2 linked regions of the Schizosaccharomyces pombe genome follow. The gene in region 1 interacts genetically with each later gene. Each region holds a gene or a part of one and is shown in the gene's direction. Other genes may lie near its edges.

What was found.
Region 2: mutations in imp1 (region 1) and msd1 together harm fitness more than expected from each alone (negative genetic interaction), as found in Schizosaccharomyces pombe (one large-scale study listed by BioGRID).

What each region holds. Positions count from the first base shown.
Region 1 is NC_003423.3:3,914,306-3,919,014, forward strand, and holds imp1 (importin alpha family nuclear import signal receptor adaptor Imp1), read left to right. Parts: upstream 1-2,249; 5' UTR 2,250-2,320; coding exon 2,321-3,940; 3' UTR 3,941-4,209; downstream 4,210-4,709. Other genes in the region: exoribonuclease Rex4, read left to right, coding at 391-423, 498-1,247; F0-ATPase subunit atp4, read right to left, coding at 4,464-4,709. UniProt on the Schizosaccharomyces pombe protein: Functions as a component of the nuclear pore complex (NPC).
Region 2 is NC_003423.3:3,048,932-3,052,786, forward strand, and holds msd1 (microtubule-anchoring factor Msd1), read left to right. Parts: upstream 1-1,619; 5' UTR 1,620-1,648; coding exon 1,649-2,644; 3' UTR 2,645-3,028; downstream 3,029-3,855. Other genes in the region: gpi14 (pig-M family mannosyltransferase), read left to right, coding at 1-1,262, 1,313-1,546; SPOM_SPBC13E7.07 (uncharacterized protein), read left to right, coding at 3,580-3,855. UniProt on the Schizosaccharomyces pombe protein: Has a role in meiosis.

The sequences.
Region 1 (4,709 bases):
ATATTCACAATATTCTTTTATTAGGAAATGCATTAACCACCGGTACCTTATAATATTCTTACGAAGTGGGTACACACTGAAATAGCTCATTGGTGACCCGAAGAACGGAGGTTAATTTATTTCATAGTCTCGTATATTTGGCAGTAGTTACATCAAGAAGCAACAAATGGTGCATCACTGTCAATATATGTATATATACTATAGATAAATAAATACAAGGCATGTGACTTATATAATGATACTTAACGTAACGTACTATCATCAACGCTTTATTCAAAATAATGAAATGTGCTAAAATGTGATAAAATATTTGTGATACCGCGTTGAGAATCATATTGAAAGAGGTTGCAAATTGCTTCTTGCACCAACTTTGGCTCTTATGCACAAGCAATGTCTTCTTCCAATTGGGAAAAGTTAAAGAAGGTATGAAAGGCTATAGTTTCCATTAAGTCATTTAAGATTCTTGTTTAAGTATACTAACGGTATTGGTTGTTTAGAAACTCGACAGCGCTAAGAGTGGACGGGTTGAAAAAAAGCATTCTAATGAAAAGAAATACCTTAAAAGTGTGAAAGGTAAAAACAATGAGAATGAGAATTCTTATATCGTCGATAAAAAACGCATGAATGAATTAAAGAAATTTGCTAAGGAAAATGATATCCCTGAATCTCAAGTCCTTGACGCATATGGCGTGGATGCTTCCAAGCTTACCAGAAAAACCAATTTGGAAACATTGGGGAAATATATTGCAATGGATTGTGAAATGGTTGGGGTGGCAGATGACATGTCAGTTCTTGCACGCGTCAGTATAGTTAATTATCATGGTCATGTCGTGTATGATACTTATGTCCGTCCTAAAGAAAAGGTTACGGATTGGAGAACATGGGTCAGTGGTGTCAAGTCATTTCACATGCGGGATGCACCTTCATTTGAAAAAGTACAAGCAGAAGTTGCTAAGATACTCGACAATCGAGTATTGGTTGGACATGCTGTCCATAACGATCTCAAAGTACTACTTTTATCGCATCCAAGAAGAATGATTCGTGATACCAGCAGATTTTCTGGGTATCGGAAATTAGCCAAGGGAAGGACACCAGGGCTTAAAAAACTTGCTGAAGTGATTCTTGGGCGTGACATTCAATCTGGACAGCATTCTTCCGTCCAGGATGCCCAAGCAACGATGGAATTATATAAGAAAGTAAAAAAAGAAATGGATGAAGTTGCATTCAAAGGTTTGTCAAAGTCATAAGCTTTGAATCACTAGACTTCGTTCTGGTCATTTGGGATTTGGGTTTAATAATATGCAAGAAAATGTTTCTTATAATTTTACTGGATATGTGTCAGATGTTAAATATATTTTCGGTTGCTTATAACAGCAATATTGTTTTCATTGGCTCTTATGAAATCGTTGGTTTTCTTTCTTTATTTATCTCTTCTGTTTCCTTCGTTTCTGGTTTTAAATAGTCAATCTATTAATAATTTTTAGTATAAATAAATGATGCATACAACTGAAGGAAAGAAATAATGTATGGAAAAAACAAGGATATAGAGATTTATCAGCTTCGTTTATATGGTCTTCATAATTACTTTGTGAATTAATAAAGTTAATGTTATATAATTAGATTACTTCCTATAGTGTATATGATTTAGAGCATTTTAACTGAATGACGATAATATGTTTTCAAGCGCCGTTAAGTTAATTCCTAAATTTATATAAATACCGAATTAATCTTTATTATCACAAAAAAAATAAAAAATATATATATTAATAATAGCTACCAAATAAATTCTAGTTAGACAATGGACCATTAATGTATACATATTAATAGCTTACAAAACAGATACGGAAGTGTTTGAAAAATAAGTATTTATTCAAAGATTAAATTGCTCAACTATATGTATTATATAATCAAAATAAAAATAAAAATAGGCCAACTTGACAGGTTGTTTAAAGAAAAATTCCATTTGTTTTTAAATTTTGAATTCTTGTTATAGCATTCAGCTTGTTAAAAACCCAAGAAAAATTGGTTGATGAGCTCAATAAGCATGTTGTTTTACCCGTTTTATGGTGCGAAGGTTTCCAATGACAGAACAAAAATGATCTAGAAAGTTTCAACGATTTGAACCGGAAAATGATATATTTCAAATTATTCTAAATTTATTATTTTTGAACATTGTTACCTGGGTGCCGGCTGCTTCTTGGAACGACACAAGTGCTCTTTTACCTCCTTATTCTCATTAAACTCGCAGCAACCACAACTGTCTTAGATAACTAAAAAAAAAAGAGTAAAAAGGATATCAAAAAAGTTTATTCCTATAGAAATGGAATCGAGATATTTATCAGATAGAAGAAGCCGTTTTAAAAGCAAAGGTGTTTTCAAAGCTGATGAACTTCGTCGGCAACGTGAAGAACAGCAAATTGAAATCCGCAAACAAAAACGTGAGGAAAGTTTGAATAAACGAAGGAATTTAAACGCTGTTTTACAAAATGACATTGATGTGGAAGAGGAGGCTGATCAGTCTCAGGTTCAAATGGAGCAACAAATGAAAGATGAATTTCCTAAATTGACAGCTGATGTGATGTCAGACGACATTGAGCTACAATTAGGTGCCGTCACGAAATTCAGGAAATATCTTTCTAAGGAGACGCATCCCCCTATTGATCAGGTAATTGCTTGTGGTGTTGTTGACCGGTTCGTACAATTTTTAGAAAGTGAACATCACTTGCTTCAATTTGAAGCGGCTTGGGCCTTAACAAATATCGCTAGTGGTACCACAGATCAAACCCGTATTGTTGTTGATTCCGGCGCTGTTCCTCGTTTTATTCAATTACTTTCTTCACCTGAAAAAGATGTCCGTGAGCAGGTTGTATGGGCCCTCGGTAACATAGCTGGCGATTCTTCTGCCTGCCGTGACTATGTACTCGGTAACGGAGTTTTACAGCCTTTACTTAATATTCTTCAGAGTAGCGCTTCTGATGTTTCTATGCTCCGTAACGCTACATGGACACTTTCTAACTTGTGTAGAGGCAAAAATCCACCACCTAACTGGTCAACTATTTCTGTAGCCGTTCCAATCCTTGCTAAGCTCCTTTATTCTGAAGACGTTGAGATTATTGTTGACGCGTGCTGGGCCATCTCCTATCTTTCTGATGGACCTAACGAAAAAATTGGCGCCATTTTAGACGTTGGATGTGCGCCCAGGCTTGTTGAACTTTTGAGCTCTCCCAGCGTTAATATTCAAACTCCTGCCCTTCGCTCTGTGGGGAATATAGTAACAGGTACTGACGCGCAAACACAGATCATAATCGATTGCGGTGCTCTCAATGCATTCCCTAGTCTTCTCAGTCATCAAAAAGAGAACATTCGTAAGGAAGCTTGTTGGACTATTAGCAATATTACTGCTGGCAATACCCAACAAATCCAAGCAATTATTGAAAGTAATCTTATACCTCCATTGGTCCATTTACTCTCATATGCCGACTACAAAACAAAAAAAGAAGCCTGTTGGGCTATTTCTAATGCTACTTCTGGCGGTCTCGGTCAGCCTGACCAAATTCGTTACCTTGTGTCACAAGGCGTTATTAAGCCACTTTGCGATATGTTGAACGGATCCGATAATAAAATTATTCAAGTTGCTCTCGATGCCATTGAAAACATACTTAAAGTTGGTGAGATGGACAGAACTATGGATCTTGAAAACATTAATCAATACGCTGTCTACGTTGAGGAAGCTGGCGGTATGGATATGATCCATGATTTGCAATCCTCCGGAAATAACGATATTTATTTGAAAGCGTATAGCATCATTGAAAAGTATTTCAGTGACGAGGACGCAGTTGAAGATTTGGCACCTGAAACCGAAAATGGCGCCTTCACATTTGGCAATGGCCCTCAAGCTCAAGGAGAATTTAAATTTGATTCTCAAGATATGGCTATGTAACGTTTAAATTAATTTTAAAAAAATTTTTTTTGTTCTAATCGAAGCGCACATTATTTACATGTTTCACTTAGACAAATTCTGTTTTCCATTACTGGTGCTTTTGTTGGGTTTGTATTTCTTTTTTTTACCCTCTATTTTTAATTCAATTTAGCTATTTGTGAAGCTAAGTATTTCTATTAGGATTAAAAACTACGGTTAAATAATATGTTTACGAAAAAAATGAGTGTACTACTAAAACAGAGCGGTACAGGTAAATAGCATGATATCACTAAAAATGTTTATATTCGTAAGAGCTGCAACTAGGCAAAATAGAGAAGGGGGTTTAGGATCAAAGAAAATAAAAATAAAAGAAAGCAGCGGGGACGATATACACTGTTAGGTTCAAATGACTTCGACTAATCGGTGAATGCAATTTGAAAACCAATAATGACGCAAATTTTTGCTAATAAGCATATATGCAAATCAAATATGACTGAAAAAAACTGCAGCTGTCTTATCGTATTATGTCCCTCGAAAAAACAATTTAGGCACTAGCTAAGACCTTTTCGATTTCACCGAGACTTTCATTGAGAGCATCCTGTTGGAACTTTTGGGTAGAAACTTTGCTGTTGACACGAGCCAAGACATCTTCAACGAGACGTTCCTGTTGTTCAGCGCGAACGTTGGCTTCGTGATGAACCCAGCTATCCAACACTGATTTAGCTTCTTTAGCTAAAGCAACTCGCTGTTCGAGCTCAAAGATCTCAGCCTCCATACGGGCAGTTTCTTT
Region 2 (3,855 bases), 870 kb from region 1:
TCAAAGGTATTCAATCATACAACTTTCAAAATTATGAAAAGGCATATTCTTTACTAGCTGCTGGAGTTACCAATTCTTTGCTTGAATGGACAAACACTAGTGTCTCAGATAAAGAATATTTGCGAATTCAGTGCTTTATTCAATCTTGCTTGCAATATCGTTTAACCCAGGATGAAAAATATCTCATTGATTTGGATGTGAAAGTTTGCAGTCTATTCAATACAAGTGCTCGTGAAGCTCTTATCCATTATGCAAAAGCTATGAAATTACTGTCAAAGTACAATAGTCGTGAAAATATGATTACCAAATTACGTGAAAGTAGTTTATATCTCCTATATGCGCCTACTGATGCATTTCTTTTACTTTTATTGGGTCTATTGATGAGACTTGTATTGTTGAATTATGGTATTTGGCATGATAGACGATCTGCCCTTAAATTTACGGACATCGATTATTTCGTGTTTTCGGACGCATCAAAATATGTCTCCATAGGAATGTCACCGTATATGCGTGACACATATCGCTATACTCCAATGTTGGCAATTTTGCTTCTTCCTACTCAATACGGATTTCCGTCGTGGGGTAAATATTTGTTTTCAATATCAGACTTAATTGCTGGGTGGCTTATGATTAAGCTCTTATCTAGGAGGATATCTTACAAAAGGTCGTTAATTTACTCTTCCTTCTGGATATTGAACCCATTCGTCGCCATAATCAGTACTCGAGGGAATTGTGAAGCCATTCTTGGTATATTGAGCATTGCTTTGTTGTATTTGATCGAAAAAAAATCAGTTTGGCTAGCTAGCCTAATACTTGGGTTTTCTGTGCATTTTAAAATTTACCCATTTATGTATGGGATTGCTTTCTTAGTATATTTTTCAAAACCAAAAAAAGGGTCCACTTTCATGGAAAAATTTCTATCTTTATTATCGATTAATCAGTTAAAGATTGTTGTTGGTTCTTTGTTTATGTTTACGATATGTAATTTATTGATGTATTACCTTTACGGGTCTCCATTCCTTGAACATACATATCTTTACCACTTTGGTAGAACAGATCATCGACATAATTTCTCTCTACATCATTTAAACTTATACTATGAATCATCTTTCGGAGCAAAAGCGTCTTCTTTATTTGCATTTCTGCCGCAGTTAAGTTTGTGCATGCTAATACCCTTGGTCTTTGGAAAAAAGAATTTACCTGGGACTCTATTTGCCCAAACATTTGCATTTGTAACCTTTAATAAGGTTTGTACCAGTCAGGTATGTTAAGTTTGAAATTAGAAGAATGACGGATTATACTAACAACTTAGTATTTTATGTGGTATCTAGTATTTCTACCTCTGGTTTTACCAAACTCTAAGCTTTTAAGTAAGAAGGGACTTATTTGTCTGTCTCTGTGGATTATTGGTCAGCTGTTATGGCTTATTAGTGCATACAATTTAGAAATGTTGGGAAAATCGGTATTTATACCTCTTTGGCTTTCCGGCTTACTTTTTTTTTTTTTTAATGTTTATGAATTAAAAATAATATTAGATTCTTTGTAGTTAATAATCAATCTGTTTTAAGTTCTATGCAATAGATGATTTTTATAAGGATGTTCTACATTATTTCTTCACCACCGCATTAATAAGTGTAAACATTGGAAGATGACCACCCCCATTGTTTTTTGCAACCCCAGCAATATAGAAGAAAGCCTTTTGTATATTAACAAATCTTTATTTTCCAAAGGAGTAATACAAGCTGAAAAGTTACGCCTTTCTCATGACATTCGTGATAATTGCAACATAGTGAACATCATATATCGTTTATTAAGAGCAACTGACGAAGAACGTTTAGAAAAGGAATCTCTTCTTGATGCTATTAAAAATAATGAATATGAAAAGCAAAGAGATAACAATACAATAAAACGGCTCAAAAATGAGTTGGAGCTTTATCAAAACGAATGTCAATTGCAACTGAATAAAGTTAGAACACTGGAAAGAGATCAAGCTGAATTAATTACACAAAATAAAGGTTTGAAAGATGTAAATGCTAAAAATGAATTGACTTTGAAGGCATTAAAGAATCAATTATCTGTTTCATTACGCCAGCATGAGCAACAAATGGAGACTTTGAAAGGTAACTATGGACTAGTGAAAGCTCGAAAAGGAAGAAACCTAAATAGTATGTTAATCGTTAAAGAGCCTATTAAGCAAAACACAAATGCCCCCATACTACCTGAGACCGCTTCATTTTTGCAACAGAATGATGAAAATTCCAATTTCCTTAACAGTAGGGTGAATAACGATGAATTTCAATTGTTAAAAGGATTAAATAACGAATTGAAAAAAAGTAACGGAACACTTTTGACATGTTTAAGTGGTACCTTGAATTCACTGGTAGAGATGTTAAGTCCTTTATACGAACGTCCTAACTCGAACCCGTTTGAAGTATGTGAACTGAATGCTATCCTTCTTGATGCAAAAATTCAAAATCAGCTGCTTTTTATTCGTAATCTGTTGCATGAACGTAAATATGTTTCAATTGATGAATTGGATGCAATATTAGAGGAAAACGAGAAAAATAAACATTTGATAAACATTCTTCAAAAGGAGAACAAAAGAGTTTTTGAATTTTTAACAAATATGCACGACAAATTTTGACTGACTTTTAACGTAATAATTTGCTGCTTCGATTTCTTAAACGAAAGCCAATTTATTAATAATAAAGAACGCAATTCAAAGACACTTATATTCCTCTTTGAGAACTGGAAGATTGCTTTTTATTTTTTTAAATATTTATTTATTGTAAACAAGTGCATCTTCTTTCACTAAGTACAGAATTTTGAAGGCAAATTTCTATTCTCAATTGAACGATTTAACATACCTTAAAATGTGAAACTGTTAAACAGTGCACCAGGGCTTTGAAAGCATGTTGTTAAAGGATTGTAGGCACTAGCTCAAGAAAGTCGATTTAATTATTTCCATGTAAAAGTTAGTTGGAGCACTTACGATTGTGTTTAATCTTCAAAAAAATAATTAACCGGAATATTTTCTAAAAAGTCATAAGTTATTTTTAATTCTTTTTTATATTTGTAAAAAAACACCTACATAATTATAAATATATTGATATTTCGAATTTCAATTCTGCTCAAAACTACTAACACACCCCTAATAGAACAAAATATTTAAGGTACTAGTAAGCTTCAAAAATCATTATTGGTGGTTTTGTTAAAAAAGTAAAAATCAGAGTTACTATAATGATAAATAAATTTTAACAATTTTTTTTTTTAATTATACTTTTTAAGCGAATACGTTGGTGTATTAATTTTATTGGCGACAAGTCTTTAGCGAATTTAGAATAGCATTAGTAGTGTGATCAAGTACATTAGTTTTTTTTGTCAAATGTGTTCAATGTTAAACAATATAATTACCTTTTGTTATTGAAATCACATTTTCTTATTGTTTACATTTTTTAACATATAGTGCTATATATCAAGGATCGTTAAGTAGCATTGTGCATTCCCTGATACATTATGGCGCTTGCTTGGACTGCCATTTGGTTGCTCTACTTACACTATTCCACATTGAGATAAAGAATGGGTTATGAGGAGGCTTTCTTTAGATGGGCATTTCTTATAGCTACTGTTTACGTTGCGTACTATTTTTTAGTCTCAAGTGATAAAAAATTAGCTACCAAACCTCAAAAGTCTAAGCTTACTAAGTTGGGTAAACAGAAACAGAGGCAGAAACAAAAGAACACTAAGAAGGATACTTTGGTTAATCGAGAAACTCCCTCTAAAAAATCCCAAAAATTGGAAACCTCAGATGCCCTAAAGTCGAAATCGAAAGACTCTTCAAAGAAGGAACCCGTG